Macaca mulatta: one gene and its partners. The protein of the gene in region 1 binds, or shares a complex with, the protein of each later gene. Links are inferred from orthologs where the notes say so. Each region holds a gene or a part of one and is shown in the gene's direction. Other genes may lie near its edges.

The links.
Region 2: MED24 (region 1) and MED7 share a complex: the UniProt entries of both Homo sapiens proteins name them as parts of the mediator complex. The link is inferred for Macaca mulatta from reciprocal best matches to the Homo sapiens genes MED24 and MED7.
Region 3: MED24 (region 1) and MED8 share a complex: the UniProt entries of both Homo sapiens proteins name them as parts of the mediator complex. The link is inferred for Macaca mulatta from reciprocal best matches to the Homo sapiens genes MED24 and MED8.
Region 4: MED24 (region 1) and MED25 share a complex: the UniProt entries of both Homo sapiens proteins name them as parts of the mediator complex. The link is inferred for Macaca mulatta from reciprocal best matches to the Homo sapiens genes MED24 and MED25.
Region 5: MED24 (region 1) and MED21 share a complex: the UniProt entries of both Homo sapiens proteins name them as parts of the mediator complex. The link is inferred for Macaca mulatta from reciprocal best matches to the Homo sapiens genes MED24 and MED21.
Region 6: MED24 (region 1) and MED31 share a complex: the UniProt entries of both Homo sapiens proteins name them as parts of the mediator complex. The link is inferred for Macaca mulatta from reciprocal best matches to the Homo sapiens genes MED24 and MED31.
Region 7: MED24 (region 1) and MED13L share a complex: the UniProt entries of both Homo sapiens proteins name them as parts of the mediator complex. The link is inferred for Macaca mulatta from reciprocal best matches to the Homo sapiens genes MED24 and MED13L.

What each region holds. Positions count from the first base shown.
Region 1 is NC_133421.1:64,372,116-64,375,363, reverse strand, and holds the end of MED24 (mediator of RNA polymerase II transcription subunit 24), read left to right. Parts: intron 1-527; exon of another isoform or gene 528-660; intron 661-1,509; coding exon 1,510-1,590; intron 1,591-1,917; coding exon 1,918-2,066; intron 2,067-2,202; coding exon 2,203-2,319; 3' UTR 2,320-2,748; downstream 2,749-3,248. UniProt on the Homo sapiens protein: Component of the Mediator complex, a coactivator involved in the regulated transcription of nearly all RNA polymerase II-dependent genes.
Region 2 is NC_133411.1:166,007,764-166,011,761, reverse strand, and holds the start of MED7 (mediator of RNA polymerase II transcription subunit 7), read left to right. Parts: upstream 1-1,198; 5' UTR 1,199-1,257; intron 1,258-3,998. UniProt on the Homo sapiens protein: Component of the Mediator complex, a coactivator involved in the regulated transcription of nearly all RNA polymerase II-dependent genes.
Region 3 is NC_133406.1:196,876,032-196,880,231, forward strand, and holds the start of MED8 (mediator of RNA polymerase II transcription subunit 8), read left to right. Parts: upstream 1-1,400; 5' UTR 1,401-1,404; intron 1,405-4,200. UniProt on the Homo sapiens protein: Component of the Mediator complex, a coactivator involved in the regulated transcription of nearly all RNA polymerase II-dependent genes.
Region 4 is NC_133424.1:62,282,513-62,286,493, forward strand, and holds the start of MED25 (mediator of RNA polymerase II transcription subunit 25), read left to right. Parts: upstream 1-1,181; 5' UTR 1,182-1,234; coding exon 1,235-1,368; intron 1,369-1,412; exon of another isoform or gene 1,413-1,462; coding exon 1,463-1,508; intron 1,509-2,927; coding exon 2,928-3,052; coding exon of another isoform or gene 3,053-3,074; intron 3,075-3,623; exon of another isoform or gene 3,624-3,721; intron 3,722-3,981. UniProt on the Homo sapiens protein: Component of the Mediator complex, a coactivator involved in the regulated transcription of nearly all RNA polymerase II-dependent genes.
Region 5 is NC_133416.1:29,388,715-29,392,773, forward strand, and holds the start of MED21 (mediator of RNA polymerase II transcription subunit 21), read left to right. Parts: upstream 1-1,259; 5' UTR 1,260-1,292; coding exon 1,293-1,334; intron 1,335-4,059. UniProt on the Homo sapiens protein: Component of the Mediator complex, a coactivator involved in the regulated transcription of nearly all RNA polymerase II-dependent genes.
Region 6 is NC_133421.1:8,131,825-8,136,124, reverse strand, and holds the start of MED31 (mediator of RNA polymerase II transcription subunit 31), read left to right. Parts: upstream 1-1,500; 5' UTR 1,501-1,600; coding exon 1,601-1,628; intron 1,629-2,414; coding exon 2,415-2,492; intron 2,493-2,772; coding exon 2,773-2,869; intron 2,870-4,300. Other genes in the region: C16H17orf100 (uncharacterized protein C17orf100 homolog), read right to left, coding at 839-1,216. UniProt on the Homo sapiens protein: Component of the Mediator complex, a coactivator involved in the regulated transcription of nearly all RNA polymerase II-dependent genes.
Region 7 is NC_133416.1:123,210,902-123,214,401, reverse strand, and holds part of MED13L (mediator of RNA polymerase II transcription subunit 13-like), read left to right. Parts: intron 1-1,687; coding exon 1,688-1,820; 3' UTR 1,821-3,500. UniProt on the Homo sapiens protein: Component of the Mediator complex, a coactivator involved in the regulated transcription of nearly all RNA polymerase II-dependent genes.

The sequences.
Region 1 (3,248 bases):
CTGCCCCAGCTGCAGGCATCTTTGCGGCTGGTCAGAGAGGGTGTGGAAGGGACCTGCTGTTTTAGCCCCCAGGGGGGTGCTCTGTGTCTTGCCCCTAGGGAAGAGGTTGCTGTTCCCACTCCCTGAGGGTTGAAGCTCCTCTGCCCAGGTCCAGCCCAGCCCACAGCTGTTCCCCCGAGCCCCCCTCCCGCCCCCGTCTGCAACCCTCCTGCCCCCTCCCTTACCCCAGGGTTGAGGGGATGACAAGCTACCCAAGTGAGTTCACCGCCTCAGGCACAGCCTGTGCCATTGACTCACCAGCTCTGACCTTCCTTCCTTCCCCCAACATGCCTGGAGAGGCCCGGGCTGGAACTTGGGACTACTCCCCACCTTCCTGCCTAAAGAGCACACCCCCCCACCCCTCTCTTCCCTGGAGGGCATCCTTCTCACTGTCCTCTCCTCCCTGCCAAACTTACTGCAAAGGGCTCCTTCTGTGGCATTTTTCCTGTTTCCAGAGATTTCTCCTGAGCCTGAACTTTTCTCTGAAGGCTTTTAGGGACTAGGGGACCGATTATACACTTGATCAGAAGAAAAATGCTCCAGCTGCAAGCGCTGTGACCTTTAGTGACTGAGCCAGCCCCCATCTGGGTCTCCTCATCTGTAAATGGGGTGTTGTGAGGAGTAAGTGGCCTAGGAAGTACCAAGATCGGCCCCTGGCGCTGTGTGCTCGCCACACGTTAGTTTTTCTCTCTCATCTCCGTTGGGATCTCTCTGTATCCGAGGCCCCTCTGTGCCTTTGTTGTTGTTGTTTTTTGAGTTGGAGTCTCCCTCTCTTGCCCAGAGGGAGTGCAGTGACGTGATCTTGGCTCACTGCAACCTCCGCCTCCTGGGTTAAGCAGTTTTTCTGTCTGAGCCTCCTGAGTCGCTGGGACTACAGGCGCCTGCCACAACGCCCGGCTAATTTTTGTATTTTAGTAGAGATGGGCTTTCGCCATATTAGTCAGGCTGGTCTCAAACTCCTGAACTCAGGTGATCTACCCGCCTTGGCCTCCCAGAGTGCTAGGATTACAGGCATGAACCCCCGCGCTCAGCCTGTTTTTTTGAGACAGGGTTTTGCTCTGTTGCTCATGCTGGAGTGCAGTGGCACCATCTCGGCTCACTGCAGCCTTGTTCTCCTGGGCTCAAGCAGTCTGCCTCAGCCTCCCAAGGAGCTGGGACTACAGGCTTTGGCACCATGCCCAGCTAATTTTTGTATTTTTTGTAGAGATGGGGTCTCGCTAGTTGCCAAGGTTGGTCTTGAACTCCTGGGCTTAAGCAGTCCTCCTGCCTTGGCCTCCCAAAGTGCTGGAATTACAGGTGTGAGCCCCTGCACCCAGCCTCCCTCTGTGCTCTTGATCTCAGGGTCTTCTCTGGGCTTTCCATGTACCAGTTACCTCCGATGGGTGAAGGTCAGGTGGGGGTATCCCCAGGGAGCGCCGCTTTTGCACTCGGCAGGCTGTTCCCCAGCGCTCTGTCTGCTCTGTCCCACAGCAGACCGGTCCATGAGCAGCTCCCTCTCAGCCTCTCAGCTCCACACCGTCAACATGCGGGACCCTCTGAACCGAGTCCTGGGTAAGTTCCCCACCCGTGCTGCTGAACCTGGGGTTAAGCTGGACGAGTCCCTCTCCTCATGGAGGCTGGGCGACCTTGTCATCTGGAAGGGGCCTCATGGCGCCCCTCCCTTCTCCCTCCATGCTCCTCATTGCTGGCTGTCCTGGCTCCCAGGCTCCTGTCTAGTTCCCCCCCTCCCCTCCCCGGTTGCCTTTTATATTTTCTCTCTCTGACACCCCGTTTTGGGGACATGCTCAGCATGTATTTCTTTTCCCTTTTCAGTCCCGCCTTCTCCCAGAGTGTGACCTCACCCCCTCTCATGGAACTCCCTCCTGTCACTCTCCACAGCCAACCTCTTCCTGCTCATCTCCTCCATCCTGGGGTCGCGCACCGCTGGGCCCCACACCCAGTTCGTGCAGTGGTTCATGGAGGAGTGTGTGGACTGCCTGGAGCAGGGTGGCCGCGGCAGTGTCCTGCAGTTCATGCCCTTCACCACCGTGAGTACCACCTTCCTGGCTCTCCCGCTGGTGCTGGGGCCTTGGTGCAGCCCTTGGAGCAGGGAGGGGCCTCCTTCCCCTGGGACAGCACGCCCACCACCAGCCATCCAGCAAGCAGCATCTCTGTCTGTGGCAGGTGTCGGAACTGGTGAAGGTGTCAGCCATGTCCAGCCCCAAGGTGGTTCTGGCCATCACGGACCTCAGCCTGCCCCTGGGCCGCCAGGTGGCTGCTAAAGCCATTGCTGCACTCTGAGGAGCTTGGCATGGCCGCAGTGGGGGCTGGGGGCTGGGGACTGGCACAGCCCCAGGTGCCTCCAAGGGAAGCAGTGAGGAAAGATGAGGCATCGTGGCTCACATCCGCTCCACATGGTGCAAGAGCCTCTGGCAGCTTCTAATTCCCCGCTTCTGACTCCTGACCTCCAGGATGTCTCCTGGTTTCCTCTTTTGAAATTTCTTCTCTGTCTGCCAGCACCTGAGGAGTGTGAGCAGCCTGGACCACAAGCCCAGTGGTCACCCCTGTGTGCGCCCGCCCCAGCCCAGGGGTAATCTTACTTCTGAGGAACTTTCTAGACGCAGAGAGTGTGTGTGTGTGTGTGTGTGTGTGTGTGTGTGTGTGTATATATTTTGTAATATGTGAGGGAAATCTACCTTTGTTCATGTGTAAATAAAGCTCCTCGTGGATCCCTTTGCGACTGTGGGTGCTGTTGGTATCAGTGTCACCCGGGGCGGGGCACAGTGCTCTCTCCCTGGACTGCCTGTGCTGTGGCCGGGGAAAGCGCACTCCTGTGGTGAGGAGGAGGAGGAAGAGGTGCAGAGGTGGCAGGGCTTAGGGTCCTATGTGGACTTGCTCAGCTGAGGAAGGGCCAGGGGAAAGCAGCTTCCCTTCCTTGGAGCCAAGTTGGCCGGCCTGCTGCCCCTCCCGCAAAGCCAGCTGTACCCTGAAAGGGGAGAGGCTTTGGCTCAGGGCCCCACAGTGCTGGGGCAGGGTGGCCTGCTCTGCTTTCTCCCGAACCTGGCCCAACCCTACCCACACTCTGACTAGCCTGGGATTTGGTCTGTTGCCTCCAAAAAAGGACTGGGGGATGGGAGGCGGGGGGATGAGGGCCGGACCTTTCTTTAACCCTTCCTTGCCTGCCTCACACGTCTCCGAGCCTGGCAGTGGACACTTCTGACCCTGCTTTC
Region 2 (3,998 bases), on another chromosome or scaffold:
GGAAATAAATTTATATGTGCGGGGGAATTAAAATGGGGGAGGCCGGGCTACGTGGTTCACGCCCGTAATTCCAGCACTTTGGGTGGCCAAGGCGGGCGGATCACTGTAGGTCAGGAGCTCGAGACCAGCCTCACCAACATGGTGAAACCCTGTCTCTACTAAAAATACAAAAAAAGGAAAAAAAAAAAAAAAATTAGCCGGGTGTGGTGGCACATGCCTGTAATCCCAGCTACTTGGGAGGCTGAGGCACGCGAATCGCTTGAACCCCGGAGACAGAGGTTGCAGCGAGCCGAAATCGCGCCACTGCACTCCAGCCTGGGCGAAAGACACTCCGTCTCAAAGAAAATAAATAAATAAATAAAACAAAATAAACCAACAAAAAACCCTGCATATCTATATTTTCGAATTTTTATGTAAGATGTCTTCATTGTATGGGTTCAATTAAAAAAGAAAAGACAAAAGGAATGGAACTACCAGCTGCGACTGTCAGCAGAAGAGTTGTAATGCGGGCAGCGGGTGGAACACACGAACAACCTTTGCTAGGTTTTCTTTGGGAGGTTATTTTCACGTCATAAATGTCTAAATTCATGGAAGTCTTACAAGAGCATGTTACATATTAAAATATAAGATTTTTTTTTTTTTTTTTGAGACGGAGTCTCGCTCTATTGCCCAGGCTGGAGTGCAGTGGCCGGATCTCAGCTCACTGCAAGCTCCGCCTCCCGGGTTCACGCCATTCTCCGGCCTCAGCCTCCCAAGTAGCTGGGACTACAGGCGCTCGCCACCTCGCCCGGCTAGTTTTTTGTATTTTTTTTTTAGTAGAGACGGGGTTTCACCGTGTTAGCCAGGATGGTCTCGATCTCCTGACCTCGTGATCCGCCCATCTCGGCCTCCCAAAGTGCTGGGATTACAGGCTTGAGCCACCGCGCCCGGCAAAATATAAGATTTTTTCTAGTCAATAAGGGGTCTATAAAAAATAAAGCAATAAGATGTCTTGTTTAATTTTATGCCTTAAAGAAACGAAGAAACAACCCTCACCTACTACTTTTAAAAGTCAGTGAAAGGGGTGGCGATGGCAGGAGTCGAATATACGCAGGCGCAATAGCGAGCGATCGGTCTGAGGCGGATCTAGAATCTCGTTAAAGGACAGCTCCTACAGCCAATCAAAGACAGAGTCGGTGGCTTCTTCCAGGAGGAGACCGGAAATTGGTTTCGGCTGCAGAGGGGGAAGGCGGCTACCAGTGTAAAGCCAGAGTTGAGGTGAGTGGGCGGCAACGGCTTGGGGCTCCCGCGTGTGTGCGTTTTTTTCTTCCGGACCCCGCGGTTTCCTCTGTGCTGGGCTGGGAACTGGGGAGGCATGGAGGAGTTCGGCCTCCGAAGACGCTCTCTCGTCTTTCTGTCCCGAGTCTCTCCGAGAGCGCGGCCTCCCCGCCGCTCGTGGAGGTCTCGGGATGGACAGCCTGGAGGAGGGGGCTCTTAGCGCTGCAGTCCCAGGGCTTCCTCCGTGTGGGGACGCCGAGCCGGAGTGGAGGTTGGGAGACGTGGTGTCTAGTCCCCTCGCCGCTGTTTTTCTAGGCTGTGTCGCCTTGGGCGAGTTATTTGCCCTTTCTGGCCCTTTGTAACATGAGAGTAGCCCTCCCTGCCCTTCCTTCTTCTGGGAGCAGTTGTGAAACAGCTGAGATACGGGGGCAGGCGAGGGCAGTAGATCCCAACCAAGCCTAATCGTCAGGTCCATCTGGAGAGGTTTTTAAAGCGACATACCAGGGCCCATTCACAGTGGACAGAATGAATCAAATCTCTGGGGCTGGGACCCTGGAATATCTGTCGTCTTCTGGTGAGGCGCCTTCTCCCCCAGAACAAACACTAGATGTTGGATCTTGAGTCTAAGAACCAGTTATGATGCTTGGCTCTGGTTTTATTAAAATAAGACTTCCATCGCCTTTGAAAAGTTCCATCTAGAGAGACAGTAGAGAAAAATATAATTTTTGTAATATGCAAGTTCTAATTGTACAATTAGATGCTTCACGGCTTAGAGATATAAGAGAGCTTGCCCTTTGGAGCTAAAGGGACCTGGGATAAGAATTCCTGTTGTACCATTTATTAACTTTTTGATCTGGGGCAACACTTCCCCTCATTGAGACTTGGGATCTTCACCTCTAAAATGAAATTGATAATAGAACTTAATTCATGGGACTCTGTGGTGGCTCACGCCTATAATCCCAGCACTTTGGGAGGCCGAGGTGGGCGGATCACTTGAGGTCGGGAGTTCCAGACCAGCCTGGCCAACATGGTGAAAACCTGTCTTTACCGAGAAATAAAAAATTAGCTGGGCGTGGTGGCACACACTTGTAGTCCCTAGCTACTCAGGAGGGTCATGCAGGTGAATCCCTTGAACCCGGGAGGCAGAGGTTGCGGTGAGCCCTGATCATACCACTGCCCTCCAGCGTGGGAGACAGATTGAGACCTTGTCTCAAAAAACAAAACAAACAACCTTAATTCATAGAATTGTTATGAAGATTATGTTAGAGAGGCCATAAAACAACAGTATCTGTCACGTAGTTGCCTTAGGAAAATGACAACCTAAGTACAGGAATGCACATCGTGTAGGAAAGTACAGAGCAGCACTCCTCACCTAAAAAGGTTTGAGTGGAATGAAACGTAAGGTGTCAAAAACTGTGTTTTGAAGTACCAGATCAATGTTAATTCCTTGATTTTGGTAATTGTGCTGTGGGTAGAAGAAAACATTCTTGTCCTGGGAAAACACATTGAAGTATTCAGGGGTGAAGGAATGAGAAACCAATAAAGCAAATGAAGGAAAATGTTAACATTTGGAGAATCTGAGTGAAGAATATGAAGTGTTCTTTGTATATTCATGCACTTTTTCTGTAATCTGAATTTATGTTATAAGTTTTAAAATGTTGGCTGGGAGTGGTGGCTCACACCTGTAGTCCCAGCACTTTGGGAGGCCAAGGCAGGAGGATTGCTTGACCTCAGGAGTTCAAAACCAGCCGGAGTAACATGGCAAAACTCTGTCTCTACAAAATATACAAAAATTAGCTGGGCGTGGTGACATTTGCCTCGTACTCCCAGCTGCTTGGGAGGTTGAGGTGGGAGGATGGCTTGAGCCTGGGAGGTCGAGGCTGCATCATCCTATGCACTACTGTGGCATGGTGGAAACTCAGGGCTGCACCACGCCTGCCCTTAGTACCTCACGAATTCTAAGTATAATATTGCTTCTAATAGAATACTTGCCCCACCTGATGTTAGAGGGTGTTATATCTTGAAACTTTGATAATACCAGTGTAAAGGAGCACTTCAGAATCTTCTCATTGGATGGTATATCTAGGCTTAAGGTAGAGTAAGTAGAGGTTATTATGGCCATAGAAGATACTGGGTTTGAACCTGGGGTTTGAAATTTCTGTGATAGTTGTAGGGAAGTTAATGTGTCCATACAGGCCGGGCGCGGTGGCTCACACCTGTAATCCCAGCACTTTGGGAGGCCAGGGTGGGCGGATCACCTGAGGTGGGGAATTAAGAGACCAATTTGGCCAACATGGCGAAATCCTGTCTCTACTAAAAATACAAAAATTAGCCGGGCATGGTGGTGTGCGCCTGTAATCCCAGCTACTTGGGAGGCTGAGGCAGGAGAATTGCTTGAGCCCAGGAGGCGGAGGTTGCAGTGAGCTGAGATCGCACCACTGCACTCCAGCCTGGGCATCAGAGCAAGACTCCGTCTCAAAAAAAAAAAAAAAAAAAAAAAAGTTAATGTGTCCATATAAAATTGCATAGTTTACTGTGACAAAAAGGATATGGAACTGAATCATTTCATTCAGGAACTTTGGATAATACCATGTCTTTAGGATTTAGCAGTGTTAATTTTGTCAGTGTTTATGAGAGATACAAGTAAGTGTTTGCTATTGGAAATCAATCTGTAACATAAAGCAAAAGTGATTCTGATATGAGATTGGGAGACAACGTGTAGTTTGGTTATGGAGGAGTAG
Region 3 (4,200 bases), on another chromosome or scaffold:
TGTACGACTCAAGCAGGTGGAATGAAAATGGAACTAGGCATGTGCTGCTGAAACTGAGAGTAAGATGGTATGGATAAGCTTTGGAGCTCAGGGGTATAGGAAAAGTTTTAGTACAGCTGCTCTAGAAACAGGAAAGGAAGCTGATAAAGGAAATGGAAAAGGCAATATTGCCAAGTACTAAATAGGGCACAGTCTGAAACTGGGAGAGGAGTGTGGTTCGCCTTTCTATCGAGTCTCAAATGAAAGACCGCCCAATCAGAGACAGATGGGCAGACCTGGTCAGAGCTTGGTATCAGTGGGACATTTTCAGGAGGACAAGGGGGTAAAGGCATGGAGGCTGCTACTGAAAGAAGCCAGCCTGGGTGAATAGGAATGGAAGGGAAGTCAGCCAGGGCTGAGCACTGGAAGAACAGGGAAAGCAGAAAGCCAGCAACCCAGAAGAGGTCGAGGGCAGGGACCTGCAGGTGGCATGGACCTGTGCAGCACAGCAGACAAGGTATGCGTTTGAACCAGGCCACCATGGTGCTAATCCGGGCTCCGCTGTTTTTTCCACTACGTAACTTTGGGCAAACTACTTAATCTTGCTGAGCCTTAATTTCCTCATCTGTAAAAAGAGTAATACAAAGATCAAAATCTCTTATTTGAGCCCCCTCAAACTAGATAGTATTAGAATCTCAAAGTGTTCAGATTTTAGGAAAGCAGTATACTGCACAAACCATATATTATTTAACATCCCCCTATGAGGTTTGGGGCAGCATCCTGTAATTAAATGTTAATATTTCTTCTATGAAATGAATCTTTACGCTAGAAGGAACTATAAATACATTCATACCATTTCAGGTCAGATTTTACTGCCAAATGAATTCTGACACTTACCTTTTAAAAAAAATGTTTAAAGATGTTTCAAGTTCATATGTGCCATATTGGTGGACCATTAATAGAACCCACCTCATAAGGCCATGTCACGAGGATTAGATGACCAAATTAACATTAAGCAGTGAACACAGTGCCTGGCATGTAGTTACGTCCTCAATACATGCTGCTGTTAGTGTTTTTCTCATCAGCATCATCACTGTTGATGACAGTGTGGCTGAAGTAAAAGGGGGACTGATAAGTGGGGAGGAATATAGAGAGGGAGAAACACAGTGAAAATAAGGCAGAAAAGCAGACCAGATGGGGTTTTGAATACCAAGTTAGGAGTTTGGATTTTATTGAGTAGAAGCAGACAGAGCAGAGAAAAAGACTATAAATTTTTCAGAAAATCAATGATATCAACAGATTTTTGCTTCAGAAAAACCATTCTAGTGGCAGTGTGAAAGAGCGCAAGGAGGCTAAGACCTAGCAGGAGAGCTTTGTGGTAAGCCAGGTGACAGATGATGAGGGTCTCACATGAGGCTGTGGGGGGTGGGATGAAATTCAAAGGGAGAACGGACAGGATTGGGAAACTGATCGGGTGTGGGATGGTGAGGACTAAGAGAAAATACTATCACAGAATATAAGGGAGTAGAAATATTCCAGAAATAGATGGGCAGTAATAATGTTAAATGTAGCAAAAGAAAGAAGAAGATAAGGTGTGGAAAGCATTCTCTGGGTTTGGCAATTAGGATGCTACTGGCAATCTCAGGAAGAGCAGGCTCAGTTGACTCCGTGAGAATGGAAGCCACACGTTATCAAATGTCATAGAGCAGCCAGTAAAATACAGACTGAAAAAATAGGGGTTGAATTCACTAACAAGGAGGTTTTCAATGACCTCTGACATTCATTGCAGTTTGACTTAATGAAGTATTATGGGTAACCTGCAAACCGCAGTGGTTTGGTATAGGGATGGGAGAGTAAGGAATAGATTGTCCAGTAGATTGGTTTTCTCTATGAAATGGGAGGTGATCACTGGCTGTGGGCATTGGGAGGGAAGGAACTAGTTTTCCAGTTTGAAATAGGAGATTTCAATTGGGGCTGAACGACTTTCTCTGTAAGTGGACAGTAAATATGTTAGGCGTTGTGGGCCATAGCCTGTCACATATCCTTCTGTGCTTTTGTTCTGTTTTGCTCAGCAACCCTTTAAAAATGTAAAAATTTGTTTGTTTGTTTGTTTGTTTTGTTTTCTTTTTTGAGACAGCCTTGCTCTGCCACCCAGGCTGGAGTGCAGCATCGTGATCTCAGCTCACTGCAACCTCTGCCTCCTGGGTTCAAGTGATTCTCGTGCCTCAGCCTCCCTAGTAGCTGGGATTGCAGGTGTGTGCCACCACGCCCGGTTAATTTTTTGTGTTTTTAGTAGAGTGGGGGTTTCACCATGTTGCCCAGGCTGGTTTCAAATTCCTGGACTCAAATGATCTGCCTGCCTCCCAAAGTCTCCTAAAATGCTGGGATTACAGGCATGAGCCACTGCACCTGGCCTAAAAACACAAAAATCATTTTTAAGCCAGACCACACAAAAATAAGCTCTTGGATAGATCTGGCATAGGAACCAGAGTTTGCTGACCTGATTTAGATTACTCCCCTTTCAAATCTCCCCAAGTGACAGAAACGACTGCATGTTCATTGTAAAGCAGAAGCACCCAGGACAAAGACAGAAGAGACACAAAACTGGAAACCAAGTAGACAAGTGGAAGTCAGCAAACTCAGGAAAGCTGAATCCTGTGCTGGTAGTGGGAAAAGTTGAACTGAACGTGAAATATATCACAGAACTCCCCAAAGACTCAATCACTGGCAGCATCAGGTACCACTAGTAGAGGGAATGAAGATGATACTGAAAACAAGATTCCCGGTTTCTAAACATGAGCAGGCAGCCAAGATCATGAGGCATTAGAGGAAAGTATTTTATATAAAGACAGGAGACCAAAACAAATGAAATCTAAATGCAACATTGAAAAACTGAAGAGACTCAGGGGGATGAAAACTCAGGAAAAAAAAATCATTAAACTCCTCAGAGAGAAGACATTTTACTCATGAAACAGGTAGAGGATATCATAAAAAATATATTTGGTGAACAAAAAGAAAAAAGTTACCCTGGAAAATGAAACACATAATAGCAGAAATAAAAAGGGCTGGAAAAGGAATTGGAAAAGTTAAGGAAATTTCTCACAATATAGAACAAAAAGATAGAGATGGAAAACGATTAAGAAAATATTTTTAAAAGATTAAAGGACAAGTCCAGAAAACATGACTTCTGAATATGGGAGTTCTAGAAAGAAAGAATAAGGGGAAAAAATGAAAAGGCGAAAATGCTGAAAAGAATAACTCAATAAAGCTGTCCCCGAACTAAAGGTTTTGAGTTTTTTGTGCTTAAAAGGGTCCTCTGAGTGTCCAGCACAGTATGAAAATAGCTCTCCATCAAGGTACATTATCGTGAAATTTCAAATTTCTAGAGAGAACAACAAACAGACTTTATATAAATAATTAAAAATCAGAACAGCATTAAGACTCCTCAAGCAGAACACCAAAAGCCTAGAATACAATGGGGACAGTACCCTCAAAATACTGAGGAAAAATGATTTCCAACCTAGAATTCCATACGCAGCCAGACTATCAATTAAGTGTGAAATCAGAATAAAGACATTTTCAGGTATGTTCTCAAAAAATTACTTCTCATGTATCCTTTCTCAGGAAATTAGTACAAGATGTGTTCCATTAAATGAAGAAGTAAAAAAATATGGGGCCCAGGAAATGAGATATACCACAAGAGGATGGTGACAGGGACTTCAAGACCACAGATGTTTGGCTACACAGAGAGCAAACCACCCAAGGAGAGCATGCAGAGGCTCCCAAAGAGAGTTCTTCAAGAAAATGAAGCTGACAGACAATCTAACATGTCTGAATATATGGAGAACGATTTATACAACTGGAGAAGAGTTTAGGGTTGAATTAGTGACAAATACACAAAAAACTAAGGAAAGTAAAAAGCAAGACTTTTACTGACTTCAGGAAAAACAAAACATGCAGTGAAAAACTAGTAATCATGGTATCTATGAATAGTGTTTCTATGGTCATGGTATATAGATTCAATATTGCTCTAACTATATTAGGAGAATTGGAGGATAGATTGCATGGCTATGGTAGAGGAGTGGTGAGTGTGACAGAGTATTAAATATTCATCTTCCATTGAAGAAAGTCAGTAGGTAATACTCAAAACAGAAAAATCAAGAACTGGCAACATACTCTTGTTATTAGAGATTCAGTGGTTAAAAACCAAACAAATTAGCT
Region 4 (3,981 bases), on another chromosome or scaffold:
TAATGCAGTGTTTCTATTTTTCTATATTATTCATCAATAAGATTTGTGTAGCACATTTCTGTCAACAAACACGTTAGATTATTCCAGTTGGTAGTGTATTTTTCAACTTGGTTTATGCAGTCTTTTGGGAAAAATTAATAAAGACTACGTTTTCTGACTTTGCTGTAGTGCTAAGAAACTCAATGGCAGTCATTAAGATTTTTTTCCTTCAGATAGTTTTCGAGTTTCATTTGTCGCACTTACATTTTTAATCTACCTGGAATGTATTTATGTTCTAGGCCAGTTTCTGGCTCCTCTCCCGGAAAACAACGCTCAGGTGTTGCTAAGCAACCCACACTTGGGTTGGTATTCGGCTTCTTTTCAGGGGGAAAACAACTGCCCTCCCTTCCAAGTTGAGGACGACCTTAAAGCGTTGCCTAGTAACCTCGTTTCCGCCGATGTGATTGGATCCTTCTCGCCTCCCTCCCCCAGTCCGCCCGCCCAAAAGAACAGAATCAGAAACTTAATCTAACGGTTAGAAAACAAGGGCAGAGGTCCCGGCGCTGTGGCTCAGGACTGTAATCTTAGCACTTTGGGAATCCAAGGCGGGCGAATCACTTGAGGTCAGGAGTTCGAGAACAGCCTGGCCCACATGGTGAAACCCTTTCTCTACTAAAAATACAAAAATTAGCGGAGCCTGGTGGCGGGCACCTGTAATCCCAGCTACTCGGAAGGCTGAGGCAGGAGAATCGCTTGAACCCGGGAGGCGGAGGTTGTAGTGAGCCGAGATCGCGCCACTGCACTTCAGCCTGGGCGACAGGGCGAGACTCCCCTTTCGAAAACAAAGGAAACAAAACACAAAAACGAAAACAAGGGCAGCGTACGCGTTGCATAGCAACCAGGTCTCCCGCCCCTCCCTTTGAGACAAGAGGCGGACCCAGACGCCCCGCTCAAAGATGGCGGCTGACTGAGCCGCTTTCAATTTATTTCGCTCTTGAGAATCCTGACAAGAATTCCGTCGAACCCATCAGGCCCCTAAAAGGGCTAACTATGCCCTTTCTGAGTTTTCCACGCGGTGGAGGCGAAGGAGGATGGAGCTAGAACGAAGCCTCAGCGCGTGCCCCGCACAAACATGGCCGCATTCCCAGCGTCCCTAAACCGCCCGGCGCGGGTGCGCGCGCAGCGCAGGCGCATTTCCGCTCATTCCGCGGTGTCGGCTGCGGCGGCTGTGGCGGTGGCGGCTACCGCACGGGGTATGGTCCCCGGGTCCGAGGGCCCGGCCCGCGCCGGGGGCCTGGTGGCCGACGTGGTGTTTGTGATTGAGGGTACGGCCAACCTGGGACCCTACTTCGAGGGACTCCGCAAGCACTACCTGCTGCCGGCCATCGAGTGAGTGCCGTTTCCGCGGCTCTAATCCCGCCCTCCCATTTCAGTTTCCACAGCTTCTTGCCTGACTCCGACCTTTCACCTCCGACCCTCACAGGTATTTTAATGGTGGTCCTCCTGCTGAGACGGACTTCGGGGGAGACGTGAGTCTTGGGACTCCTGGGTCTGAGGGAGGAGGGGCTGGGGGCCTGGACTCCTGGGTCTGAGGGAGGAGGAGTTCGGGGTCTGGACTCCTGGGTCTGAGGGAGGAGGAGTTCGGGGTCTGGACTACTGGGTCTGAGGGAGGAGGAGTTCGGGGTCTGGACTCCTGGGTCTGAGGGAGGAGGAGTTCGGGGTCTGGACTCCTGGGTCTGAGGGAGGAGGAGTTCGGGGTCTGGACTACTGGGTCTGAGGGAGGAGGAGTTCGGGGTCTGGACTCCTGGGTCTGAGGGAGGAGGAGTTCGGGGTCTGGACTACTGGGTCTGAGGGAGGAGGGGTTCGGGGTCTGGACTCCTGGGTCTGAGGGAGGAGGGGCTGGGGGCCTGGACTCCTGGGTCTGAGGGAGGAGGGGACTGGGGGTCTGGACTCCTGGGTCTGAGGGAGGAGGGGCTGGGGGCCTGGACTCCTGGGTCTGAGGGAGGAGGAGTTCGGGGTCTGGACTACTGGGTCTGAGGGAGGAGGGGTTCGGGGTCTGGACTCCTGGGTCTGAGGGAGGAGGGGCTGGGGGCCTGGACTCCTGGGTCTGAGGGAGGAGGGGCTGGGGGCCTGGACTCCTGGGTCTGAGGGAGGAGGGGTTCGGGGTCTGGACTCCTGGGTCTGAGGGAGGAGGGGCTGGGGGCCTGGACTCCTGGGTCTGAGGGAGGAGGGGTTCGGGGTCTGGACTCCTGGGTCTGAGGGAGGAGGAGGGGCCTGGACTCCTGGGTCTGAGGGAGGAGGAGGGGTCTGGACTACTGGGTCTGAGGGAGGAGGGGTTCGGGGTCTGGACTCCTGGGTCTGAGGGAGGAGGAGGGGCCTGGACTCCTGGGTCTGAGGGAGGAGGAGTTCGGGGTCTGGACTCCTGGGTCTGAGGGAGGAGGGACAGGGGTCTGGACTCCTGGGTCTGAGGGAGGAGGGGATGGGGCTGAGATTCCTGGGTCTGAGGAAGGAGGAAGTTGAGGAGTTCCTGGTTCTGGAGGAACAGGAAGCTGGGAGCCCTGATTCCTTCTCTGAGGGAAAAGAGAATGGAGATCCCAGATTAAAAGTTTTTCTGGGCCGGGCGTGGTGGCTCAAGCCTGTAATCCCAGCACTTTGGGAGGCCGAGACGGGCGGATCACGAGGTCGGGAGATCGAGACCATCCTGGCTAACACGGTGAAACCCCGTCTCTACTAAAAAATACAAAAAACTAGCCGGGCGAGGTGGTGGGCGCCTGTGGTCCCAGCTACTCGGGAGGCTGAGGCAGGAGAATGGCGTGAACCCGGGAGGCGGAGCTTGCAGTGAGCTGAGATCCGGCCACTGCGCTCCAGCCTGGGCGGCAGAGCGAGACTCCGTCTCAAAAAAAAAAAATAAAAAATAAAAAAAAAGTTTTTCTGTTCTCCCCTCCCAGTATGGAGGGACCCAGTACAGCCTCGTGGTGTTCAACACAGTGGACTGCGCTCCCGAGTCCTATGTACAATGTCACGCTCCCACCAGCAGCGCCTATGAGTTTGTCACCTGGCTCGATGGCATTAAGTGAGCTTTTCCCCCACTTAGGGTGGGTTGGGGTTCCTGTGAGGGGCCGTGAATGAGGGATGGCTTGGGTTTGAGCTGCAGGAAACATCTCATACATGAAGCGATTTAAAGGACTTTGAAGGTGATTGTGTTTTTGTCAGAAGTCACTTTTGTGGCTTCTGTGTGCTCAGCAATGTTGCCAACCAGTTTAGAAGTAGGAAAAACTTCCCATTCAGGGAGGCCTGGCTGAGCTCCAGCAGCCACCTTGTACTTCCTGTGTGATTGTCCCCTTTATGTCCTCTCTTTTTCTATTTACCCCGTTCTCCTTTTCCAGATGCGTACATTGTAGTCTCAATGCAGGGGGATGGGTCAGAGCCAGGATAGATCCCTCTGTGGCTTGAATCAGACCTTTTTTTTTTTTTCTTTGAAACAGAGTCTTGCTCTGTCTCCCAGGCTGGAGTACAGTGGCAGAGTCTTGGCTCACTGCAACCTGCACCTCCCGGGTTCAAGCGATTCTGCCTCAGCCTCCTGAGTAGCTGGGATTACAGGCACACGCCACTACACCCAGCTAATTTTTTTTTTTTTTTTTTAGTAGAGACGGGGTTTCGCTATGTTGACCAGGCTGGTCTCGAACTCCTGACCTCACGTGATCTGCCTGCCTCAGCCTCCCAAAGTGCTGGGATTACGGGGGTGAGCCACTGTTTCAGGATTGAGGAGGACGGGAGAGAGTCTTCCGCTTAAAGCAAGAGAATCTTTCATTGAGTGCACTCAGGCCCAAGCAGACTCACGTCCAAAGACGGCCTAGAACAAAGACAGCACTTGACTTTTATACACACTTCACAAAAGGGGGTGGGCTAGCTTGAAGCAAACTTACAGTGGCGTGAAAGCAGGGATACAGAGGCAGGACAAAGACAGTTAATCAAATTGTTGTAACAGGTTTATAACTCAGG
Region 5 (4,059 bases), on another chromosome or scaffold:
GCCCAGCTCACCTTAATCTTGGACAACTGCAAAACCTTCCTCTTGGTGAGTCCTTGGCTTATTCATCTTTGCACACTGAGCACTGGATATACTTCCTGGCATGTGGCAGGCATTCAGTAAGGTACACGCTCAAGTGAAGGTGGGAGGAAAAGGTTGTAGATTCCCCCAAGTTACAGTTAGAACAAATTATGGAGTGATTTCTCATTAGTTCCATTATGGGGAGCATGCCTCATCCACGTTCTTAATGAGGCCCCAGTAAGTCTGTAGACTGTTTGGGGATGAGGGTGGGGCATGGGTGTGAAGCAGAAGTGGTGCTTCCCAGCAAGGGTTGGGATAAATCCAGCAAGCTGAGTTCCCCGGGGACTGTGTCCACCACCTACCCCGCAGCCGCAGGAAGGTAATCACGGATAATCAACCTGAGAAAGAGGATATGAGAGTTTGTTTGATGTCTCCAAACCTGTTATTTGCCGACTCCAAACTCATTTCTTACCAGACTATCCTCAGGCTAAATTTCCTTAAATACCAAGTTTCTATTATCACTCTTCACACTTAATCTCTCAATAAGTCCCAACTCTAAATCTAAATTGTGCAGCTGATTTTTCTTGGCCGGGCGCGGTGGCTCATGCCTGTAATCACAGCACTTTGGGAGGCCAAGGAGGGCGGATCACGAGGTCAGGAGACGGAGACCATCCTGGCTAACATGGTGAAACCCCGTCTCTACTACAAAAAAAAAAAAAAAAAAAAAAAAAAAAAAAATTTAGCCGGGCGTGGTGGCGGCGCCTAAAGTCCCAGCTACTCGGGAGGCTGAGGCAGGACAATGGCGTGAACCCGGGAGACGGAGCTGGCAGTGAGCCAAGATCGCGCCACTGCACTCCAGCCTAGGCGACAGAGCCAGACTCCGTCTCAAAATAAATAAATATATCTACTCTTCAATGTAGTCAATAAGTAAACACATGAGAGGATAGGAGAAATCACTAAAAAAAAAAAAATCCCCGCTGAATCCAACAATCTCTGAAGCCTTTAACACCTAACAACCTCAAAGAGAGTATTTCAGCCCCTCAAAGCGATGGACCCCAGGCCGCTCCCCAGTTACTCAAAAGATCCAGCCTCTCCTCTGGTGTAGCCCGCTCTAAGGCCGCCTCGGCAGTACCACCCACTCCTGACGGGGCGGGGAGTTCTCTCCGACCCCACCCCTTCCAAGAAGGCAGCGCTGGGATTGGCCATGACGCGTACCAGAGCTGCCCAGTCGCGGAAGAGCAGCTGTTTTGGCGTCTGTTTGCTGCAGGAAGAACATGGCGGATCGGCTCACGCAGCTTCAAGACGCTGTGAATTCGGTGAGGAATTTCATTCGATTAGCCTCTGTCTTTCTCTTTCCTGAGGTAAAGCAAGGGAGAAAAGGGGCCCAAGAGGCAAAACTTGGAAGTGGAAAGCGGACTGAGAAACAGGGCTTCGGCATAAAGCGCTCTCTCGGGAGGCGCCACCGCGAACTCGGAGGTGTGAGGCCGGCTGCCGGGCGGTGCTTGAAGGTGCGGGAGGGAGCAGCCTCTTTCGCTTGAGGAGACCGGGAAGATTGCTCTTGTCCGGGTGGGGCCGCCAAGACTTGTCGGCTGCGCGGTCCTGTCGTATTCCCTGAGGACAGTTTTATTTTCTTGGCAGCGGTGCTTACGGGATCTCTTTTGGGGGTTGGGAGGAGAAGCAGGAGCTCTTTTCTTTCCTCATCAATTTGAATCCACCAAGGGAGATCTCGTGCTGTGGATGACTGGGTTTTTGTAATGAAATGCCAGCCGAGAGTATTCCTTCACCAGCGCTTTCAGGTTGGTGCGGAGCGACGCTGAGGTGAGAGATTTTCTTTCATCTTCGCTCCTTCCTGTGGGCCCAGAGCCTCCTTCCATCTCTTGTCTCTTGGCCACCCCTCAGAATGCATCAGTTTGGGGACATCTTTATGATAGGAAATCTTCTGATTCTCGTATGTCTTTCCGTTTATTTGAGTCTTTCTTTTTTCTTTTCTTTCCTTTTTTTTTTTTTTTTTTTTTACTTTGGAGACTGTGTCTGTCGCCCAGGCTGGAGTACAGTGGTGCCATCTCGGCTCACTGCACCCTCCGCCTCCGCCAAACAAGTAGCTGGGATTACAGGCGCCCTCCACCACGCCCGGCTGATTTTTCTATTTTTAGTAGAGACGGGGTTTCACCATGTTGCCCAGGCTGGTCTCGAACTCCCGGCCTCAAGCGATTCTCCCGCCTCGGCCTGCCAGAGTGCTGGGATTACAGGTGTGAGCCACCGTGCCCGGCTTACAAGTCTTTTTTAACGTCTCCCCCAAATTCTACGCTCTATTAAAGGCCAAGTCTTGTAGGTAGCTCCCCAGCTTTGTTCCTTCTGGTAATTTTTCCTCCAAGCTATGCCTGAGTGGAAAGCAGAAGCAAAGCCAGAGGATGCGCATACAGTCATGGGCCCTTAATGAAGGGGTTATGTTCTGAGAAATGCATGGTTTCGGCGATAACTTTTTTTTTTAATAAGTAGAAGTACAATGTATAATAACGAGGAAACAGTAAATACATAAACCAGTAACAAAGTCATTTAGTATCATTATCAAGTATCATGGACTGTACTTAATTGTATGTGCTAGACTTTCATACACTGGCAGTGCCGTAGGTTGCTTTACAGCAGCGTCACCACAAGCACAGACCGCTATGATGTCACTAGGCAGTAAGAATTTTTCAGCGTTGTTATAACCATAGGGGACCGACATAATATATGCATCCCGTTGACCAAGACGTCAGTGGGTATTCTCTTGCTGCAATGGGTATACTTATTACCATTACCAGTTACATAGTTTTCTGTTAAATAGTTTTCCATTGATAGTTATGTTTCTCATTGTCTGATTGTGATTTAACGTCCTAGATGAGGGGCTAGAGAGAAAACATGCTGAGAGGAAAACCTAAGTACCTGGTTTCTTTGCCAGTTTTTTTTCCTCACTGTAAGCTAATAACTTGGCATTTTTCTTAATACATCAGGCTTTGTACACTTGAAGAGTGTGAATCTACTTGTGATAAACTGATCTACCCTGGGTGAATAACACTAGTTTTTAAGGCTGAGAGGACCAGCTTCTAAATGTTGAATTCACCAAGATAAATTCTGCCCTGCAGGGACTTGCCTGAGCTGCCAGTCAGCCTTCCTCAGGGAACTACTCCTTTGAGATTTTACAAAATCAAATTGTAATGATGCTGCTGGATAGAAATCTTATTTTAGGGAAACTTTTGCATATTCATACATGTCTTGTAACTAGAAGGATAGTAAGGACAGAGTGAATATGGCCTTAACTCCAGGTTAGGCATGCTGATAATTGGATTTTGGAGAAAAGCCTTTAGGATAACTAGTATGAGTGCCTACTGTGTATAAGCACTATCATGTTTGCAAAGAGATACTCCTTAAGGAGGTTAAAAAAATGTCATATACTCAGGAGACATTTAAGTGATGGAAAAACAGTATGTGGTTAGGGAGTTATAATGAATTGAGTATTTTCAGCTTTAGGTTCTGAAGTAAATTGGAATATGGAGTGATGTGAACCAAAATAGAGGGAATCTTCTTAGCATTTATCCTAATCAGATTTGTATAACTTTTAACATTTGTTCTACCCTCTGAAAACCATGAGTGCAGAAGCTATGTCGCATTCACTATGTCTCTATAGTGTTTAAATGTAGTACTTGTCATAGTTATTTTCCATAAAGTTTTGTTGACTAAATGGATCTTAAAAGTTTTTTTTTTTTTTTTTTTGAGACGGAGTCTCTCTGTGTCGCCCAGGCTGGAGTGCAGTGGCCGGATCTCAGCTCACTGCAAGCTCCGCCTCCCGAGTTTACGCCACTCGCCTGCCTCAGCCATTCTCCTGCCTCAGCCTCCCCAGTAGCTGGGACTACAGACGCCCGCCACCTCGCCCGGCTAGTTTTTTGTATTTTTTAGTAGAGACGGGATTTCACCGTGTTAGCCAGGATGGTTTCGATCTCCTGACCTCGTGATCCGCCCATCTGGGCCTCCCAAAGTGCTGGGATTACAGGCTTGAGCCAC
Region 6 (4,300 bases), about 56 Mb from region 1:
GAGCATGTTTAAGGTAGGCTAGGCTAAGCTATGATGTTTAGTAGGTTAGGGATATTAAGTGCCTTTTCAAATTACCGTATTTTCAACTTACAATAGTTTTAATGGGAGGTAACCCCATTGTAAGTGGAGGAACATCTAGTACCTGGCACAGAGCAGGTTCTCAATAAATATGACTCTTCTCCATCTTCTTCAAACCTCAGACCAGGTTTCAATGGCCTCCTCTCACTTTCTCTTCTAAGATTATTTTTGCTTGCTGGTGGGTTTACTGTCATTTTTAACTACATCTAACCTACCTTTAAAAAGTGTATGGATGGGAGTGCCAGGTACAAAGACTTAGCATAAAGAAAACCACCAGTTACCTTGAAACATAAACAAAGGCCATTAATAATTTATGAGTCTGTTCCTTGCCCCTCAAGTTTCTAGCAGGCATGGAATCATTCCACAGGTCATGATTTCAGTTTGGTCTCTGTTCCTAAGGGGTGAAGGTCTTCTGAGGGCTGTGGATCCCAAACTCACCTGGCTCAGAGGCTCAAACAGCCTCTTTGTCCATCAAGCCAATTTAGACAGCATCCTGGGCATGAAAATCTTTTGTGCTGGCTTCAAGTGAAAATAGTTCACTGGGTCAAAAGTAGGCTGGTCCAAGACGCAGGATGGTCAATAAACGTTGGCTGTGTTCAGAAACTGCGGCTTGGCTGTTTCTTCCATTGATTTATGGTTTGTTTCCATGAAACCGAAAATGATTGGTCCACCTGGCAGCTGGCTGGCTGGCTGGCAACTGGAGGCCTTTCTGTCCTGGCTGAGGGCCCTGGCCCCTTGGTGGCCTTTGGGAAGCAGCATCTCATCGGGCCGGTTTTTCGTTCTGGCGGGCGGCCGGCTTGGCCCGCGGGGCTGGGCTCTCCGCGCAGTGCAGAGCCGTCTCCACCCTCAGGGACGAGGCCCTGATGTGGCGGGACGTCGTTTCCGTGCGCTGCGAGGAGGATTCCACGTGCCGGGAGGACGCCTCGAGGATGCCAGGGAGCCGCTTCCCCAAGGGGGAGAGGGAGGGCCCCTCGCTGCGGCGCTGGGAGGTCTCCACCCGCCGGGACGACGTCTCCACGCGGTGGGACGAGGTCTCCACACGGTGGGACGAGGTCTCCACGCGGACTGTGGACGTCTCTGTGTAGCGGGTGGTCCCCACCCGGGGAGAAGACTGCTTGGCCCCTCGGGCTGAGGCCATTCTGCCGGCGTGAGGGGGCCAAGGAGGCCTCGGGGCACCCCCCAGCCCAACGGTCACCGCAGGCAGAAGAGAGGAAAACTACGGTACTGCCATAGCCGGGAGCGCCACAACACGATGACGTGGAAACACCATGATCCTTCCAAGGCTAAAAACACTGGGCTCCTGCCCCTCAGGCGCTCCCACGGCCCGGGCCCCGCCCCCTCGCTATTTTGGAGCCAGCGCGGGTGGAGCCATCCCAGGGCTGGCGGGATGGGCGGAGCCGCCCGGCCCCATATCCCACAGTGCCCCGGGACCGGAAGAGAGAGCCGTGGTTTCCGGAACTTCCCCCGCCACTCTGGGCTTTTGCTCGGTCAGGCTGGTGGCGTTTTGGTGTCTTCGTTTGTTATGGCCGCTGCCGTCGCTATGGAGACAGGTGAGTAGCTCTCTGATCTTGGAGTCTTCGCAGATGGAACTCCCCTCGGTCCAGACGGCTTCCCCGTGGCCTCCTTCCAGGCCTTACTCTCGGCAGGGTTAATATTTGGACAAGGAGGTGAGAAGGCTCTTGTAGCGTCTAGAAAGACTAAGGTACTCTTTGCAGTTTTCCTAATTTGGTTTGTTCGCACATCTTTGCTATTCAGACACCACCCTACCAGCTCCCCGGCGTGGGTGAGACTAAGGGAGAGGACTTGTGTGTTAAACCGTCTCCTCCTTGATTGGTTTTCTGCTTCTCACATGAGCTTGCCTAAGTTTGAAATATCGTCGCCGGACTTTATGTGTCATTCTGCTACTGGTGCTTCTTATATGCATACGCTCCATGATCTTTTAGGCTCTGCGCAGTCTCTTGCATCCTAACTTTTTCTTAACTGATTCAGCACGTAGCTTTTGCAAAACTTAATCACTGTTAACAATTGTTATAACGCATTATTAACATAGGGGAAGCCATAGTTGTTACAGCCTACCTTAGTGATCTTAGGAATTCTCCGTTTGTGTTGCTGCTTTCTTTGATGATTTCTCTTTAATTTTAGAGAAACTTCTAACTCCTTTTAATCAGGGCTCCGCTTTTCTTAGATTTCGAAGAAAGGTTTATCTCCCCCAACTCCCAGTTTAGGAAGACCATCTCGGCATTAGTCAGGTTTCTTTATTGCTGTTTCCTTACTACAAATCAGTATTATATACAGTGACCCTTACTTTCCATGATTTTTGCTGTCTTGTCTCCTAGATGATGCTGGAAATCGACTTCGGTTTCAGTTGGAGTTGGAATTTGTGCAATGTTTAGCCAACCCAAATTACCTTAATTGTAAGTTGTTAAGCACCTCATTAAATTGAGTAGCTACTAATGATTTCTGACAGAAGAGTTGCAATTCAAAATAGTATCTACTTTTACACATTCTCAATTGAATGACATTACACTTATGCTGGTATATAGATATAATTGCGCACTGGGATTTGTGTTTTGAATTCAATGTGTGTTGGTGGTGGGGGTTTTATGTAAATAGATCCTTTACATTAGGGGTAACAAAGCATAGTTTAAAGATTGGTTTGACCTACAGACATTTTTTTTTTTTAATGCTTTTCAGTTCTTGCCCAAAGAGGTTACTTCAAAGACAAAGCTTTTGTTAATTATCTTAAATACTTGCTTTACTGGAAAGACCCAGAATATGCCAAGTATCTAAAGTAAGTTTAATTTTTATAATCCTAAGCATGTGTATACTTTATGATATGATAGATTTCTTCGTTTCACATTGGCAAAAATGTATTTGGAATCTCTCCACTTCTTTTCGTTGTCACCATCTTAACACAAGACACTCTCATCTCTAACTTGTATCACTGCAGTAATCTACTCCCTGGTTATCTCTGCTTCCACTTTTACCTTCCTGCCCCCCCCCCACCCCAAACCAAACCAAGCAAAACAGCTTTCTACACAGAAACCAACTTAGTCATTTAAAAATATAAATCAGAACACTTTACTTTCTTGCTTAGAACCTTTCCATGACTTTCCATACCATGCAGAATAAAATCCAGTCTCTTTTCTTGGGCTAAAGCCCTATATGATCTGGCCCTGCCTTGTCTGACCTTGTCTTTCACCACCCTCCCCATCTCACCAGGTTTCTGGTCCCGAAGAACTCACAGTCTGTAAATGAAGTGACATAAGCCATGGGCTGAAATTAAAAGAGGGTATCTGTAAGGAAGGTGTTTCTGGGGTTATTTGGAGGAGGTGATGTTAACCTGAGTCTTAGAGTTGCTATCTTTTATTTAAGGCCTCTTATGTGCCAGAAACAGTGCTAAATGCTTCATATGCATTAACTCATTTATATATATATATATATATATTTACCATTCAGGTCATTCAGCGACACTTTTGTGTTAAGGCTTACTGAATTGCAAGAAGCATATAACCACAAACCTATTCCCTTTTAATGATTAAAAAAAAAAAAAAAAAAACACCTTGAACTCATCCCTGCTTTGTCTTAAGCAGGTAGAAAGCAATAGTGAACCTTAAAAAAAAAAAAGTTTGAGAGGAAAATGTTTCAAACTTGTTTCGAAGTCACTTTTCTGTGTCCAATAACAATTGACTCACGAAGCATATACATCTTATATTGCCTTCAGGACCCTTTGCACCTTTTCTGGCTTTTTATCCATTTAATAATCCAAAGAAAAGACTTTTAAGAAAAATAGATTTCAACAAATGTTGTATGTATGTAGATTTACAGACTCAGTGTTGGAAGCCTTAGCCACCAACAAGTTTAATCTTACCCAAAACGTTGCCGAGAGATGGTCATCTACACTCTGGAGGTTTTCACTGAGCCCATGTTACTCTGTCAGGGACAGCTGATTTGATTGTTAGCCAGATGTTAGAAAGTTATTCCTTATATTGTGATATAATGTCTCTCCTTGTAGCTCTAGTCTGATTGTAGTGTTATCCTTCATCTATCTGCAGTCACATGAAGTCTATTTGTCCCACTACTGGTGACATTAATTTTGATAACTTGGTTGTCCCTGGATTGAGCTAGAACCATTCTATACCCTCTTGAGGACAACAACCTTCCAGATACTTACATTCAAGAGAGATTGCAGATTAGCCCCTTTTGGGCATTTTATTCAGTC
Region 7 (3,500 bases), on another chromosome or scaffold:
GGATAGTTAGAAGACAGTATCTGGAACTTTTAAAGCACCTCACATTGAAAATACTTTTTATGCTTCCTGTTTCTTTTTTCTTTTTTTTCTTTTCTTTTTTTTTTTTTTTTGAGACGGAGTCTCGCTCTGTCACCCAGGCTGGAGTGCAGTGGCGCGATCTCAGCTCACTGCAAGCTCTGCCTCCCAGGTTCATGCCATTCTCCTGCCTCAGCCTGGGTGACAGCTTTTTTTTGTATTTTTAGTAGAGACAGGGTTTCACCGTGTTAGCCAGGATGGTCTCGATCTGCTGACCTCATGATCCACCCACCTCAGCCTCCCAAAGTGTTGGGATTACAGACGTGAGCTACCGATTATGTTTTTTTTTTTAATGAACTAGAACATAAATGACATAGTAGGGAAATGCATCCCAGAAATGGGTATTAATCAAACCACAGACATTCTTCATCTACCTTGAGAAAAGATACAGGCCTTTTCTAATGTTTTATAACTCTTAAATGGTTAGGAAATGATAAGAAACTGTACATTATAGATTAATGTATAATTATAGTTATGGATAAAAATAACCTGATCAACATAAATTTGGCTTCCAGGCCCCCTAGAGCAAGGGTCCCCAACCCCTGTCCATGCCTTGTTAAGAACCAGGCCGCACAGCGTGCGGTAAGTGGCAGGCGAGCGAGCATTACAACCTGTGCTCTGCCTCCTGTCAGGCAACGGCATTAGATTCTCATAGGGGCACAAACCCTATTGTGAACCGCACATGCAAAGGATCTAGGTTGTGCACTCCTTATGAGACTCTTAATGCCTGATGATTTAAGGTGGAATAGTTTCATCCTGAAACCATTCCCCACCACGTGGAAAAATTGTCTTCCACAAAACCGGTCCCTGGTGCCAAAAAAGGTTGGAGACTGCTGCCCTAGAGGAACACTGCCCAATAGAAATATAATGTGAACCTCAAATCTAATTTTCTACTAGCCACATTAAAATAGTAAAAAGAAACTGATGAATTTTAATAATATATTTTATTTAACTCAATATATTCAAAGTGTTATTTCAACATGTACCAATATAAAAATATTCATGAAATATTTACATACTTTTCTTTTTTTCTTTTTCTTTTTTTTGGAGATGGAGTCCTGTTCTGTCACCCAGGCTAGAGTGCAGTGGCATGATCTCACTGCAACCTCCGCCTACAGGCTCAAGCGATTCTCCTGCCTCAGCCTCCCAAGTAGCTGGGATTACAGGCATGCACCACCACGCCTGACTAATTTTTGTATTTTTAATAAAGACGGGGTTTCACCATGTTGGCCACCTGGTCTTGAACTCCTGACCTCAGGTGATCCACCGACCTCGGCCTCCCAAAGTTGCTGGGATTACAGGCGTGAGCCACTGCACCTGGCCTCTAAGTGTTTGGGCTCCAGTGCCTCCTTTTACCTGCAGTCCACACAAGTTCTGACTGGCCTCACTGGCAGAGCTCGGTGGCCATGTGTGGCTGGTGGCTACTGTACTGGATAGTCCATGTCTAGAAGGAAGGAAGAACATGAGACAAGGATGAGGGAAAGAGCCTGGGGCAGGTTAAAGGATGCCTTTGAGACCTCCTTCCCGCTAAGATCTGGAATGTGTTAGAATCTGAGAACCAGCCTGCCCCTCTTGAGGCTCATGCCCCTGCTCTGTGTGTTCTCTTTGGCAGGTTTGTTTTGGAGCAGTACAACGCTCTGTCCTGGCTCACGTGCAATCCGGCCACCCAGGACCGTACTTCCTGCCTTCCCGTCCACTTTGTGGTGCTCACTCAGTTGTACAATGCCATCATGAATATACTTTAATTGGAAAAGCACTTGTTCTCTCTGGCTCAGTTCCTTCTCCCTGCAACCTCAGTCCAAGGAACCTGCTACACTCTGCAAATAACCCACATCCTTTTCTTCAGACACTCTCCACAGTCCTGCACTGTGATTCCTTCTCAGCAGGCACATGTCAATTCTGCAGTGTTCATTACCAGAGTGACTCCTTGACACTTCTCTCATGGACCTGGAAACTTCCATACGTGGTGACTTTCAGCCAGTGCGGTGGTGTATGTAGCCCCCAACCACTGGTCCCCGGAAGTGGTGGTGGTTGGTGGCTTTTCAGCGGGAAACAGAAGAGACAGTGTCCTTTTGCACAAGAGTCTGTGTTTTCAGCCTCTGTATACAATTGAGGGCAGTCTAGCCCTTTGGATGAAATCCTCTAGTTACTGGTGTATGGCCTGTGGGTTACCTGAACTCCATAATCTGGGACTTTTTAAAAATAAGAACCAGCTCAAGTACATGGTTTCATACTGGGGTTCCTGTCTCCCTAGTGCTCCCATCCAGATTGGCGTGAGTGCTTCGGCAGACTTCACACCTGTGTGTGGATGCAGAAGGTCTGGAGACAGCTTCATTTTGTTTATTTATTTTAATTTGTTTTGTCATACGGTTTTTGTGACTTTGTTTTTTTAATTCACGAGGACCAGGTACAGTAGCTGAAACCCAATTCAGATCCACCATAGGATTCTTTGACTACATACCTCTGTCCTAGAAGCCGGAAAAGGAGTAAAAACACATTGGGGAGATCATGCCTAAAAGTAATATATTCAAAACCACCCAGCAGTAGGTTTTGTTAACAACAAACTGAGTTTTAAAAGTTCTGCCATGTTAAGTGGCCAGCATTTCATGAAGGATAACATTTTTATACAGAAGGCAGTCAAGCTCAACTCAGAGCCATGGAGGCAAGTACCTTAATTAGTTTTATATAGTCACAACGGAAATATATTTTCTAGTGAATTCTTACCGAAAGCCAGGTCTCTCCTCTCATTAGATCAAAAGGGACTTATGTACATACAACAATTGAAAGTGTTTGCTCATGAAATCAGTTATAAATATGGTGAATTTTTTCTGGACCATAGGAATATTATTTCAAAGAAATATTACAACTTAACCATTAAATTAGTACTTGAAGTTGAGCCTTTGTGGTGGGACTTTTTAAAAAATGCCTTTTTAAAGCATTAATGGCTAATTGAAGTATTTTATGACTCCTCATTCCTGGCCCAGAGGGTTGTCTTTGAAACCCTGTTTCTAACCCTTGTGTTGTGTGTTTCTGTCTGAGGGCAGTGGGTGTGTACTGGCCTCCCGGGAGCCACTGTGACCAGGCCTTTGAGCTCTTGTCATCTGTGGAGAGAATCATGCAAATTTTAAAAGTTCTTCCAAGAGACTTCCATGTCCTGGTTATTAACAAAAAAGGAAAAATGTAATAATTGATATGATTTTGTAAAAGTATTTTTCTTGAAATAATCTAAAGTTTAAAACATTATATTAAAAAAAAAGTTGTGTGGTGGGAATGTGAAAGCAGAGAAATAACTTGTAAATGGATAATTTTCTTCTCTGTACCACCAGTTGAAGGGGGGTTGACTTTCGCAATGTATAGGATAAAAAATCTGATATATCAAACCATTTGTATCTAATGTGTACAGTGTAAAATTGACTTTAAAAATA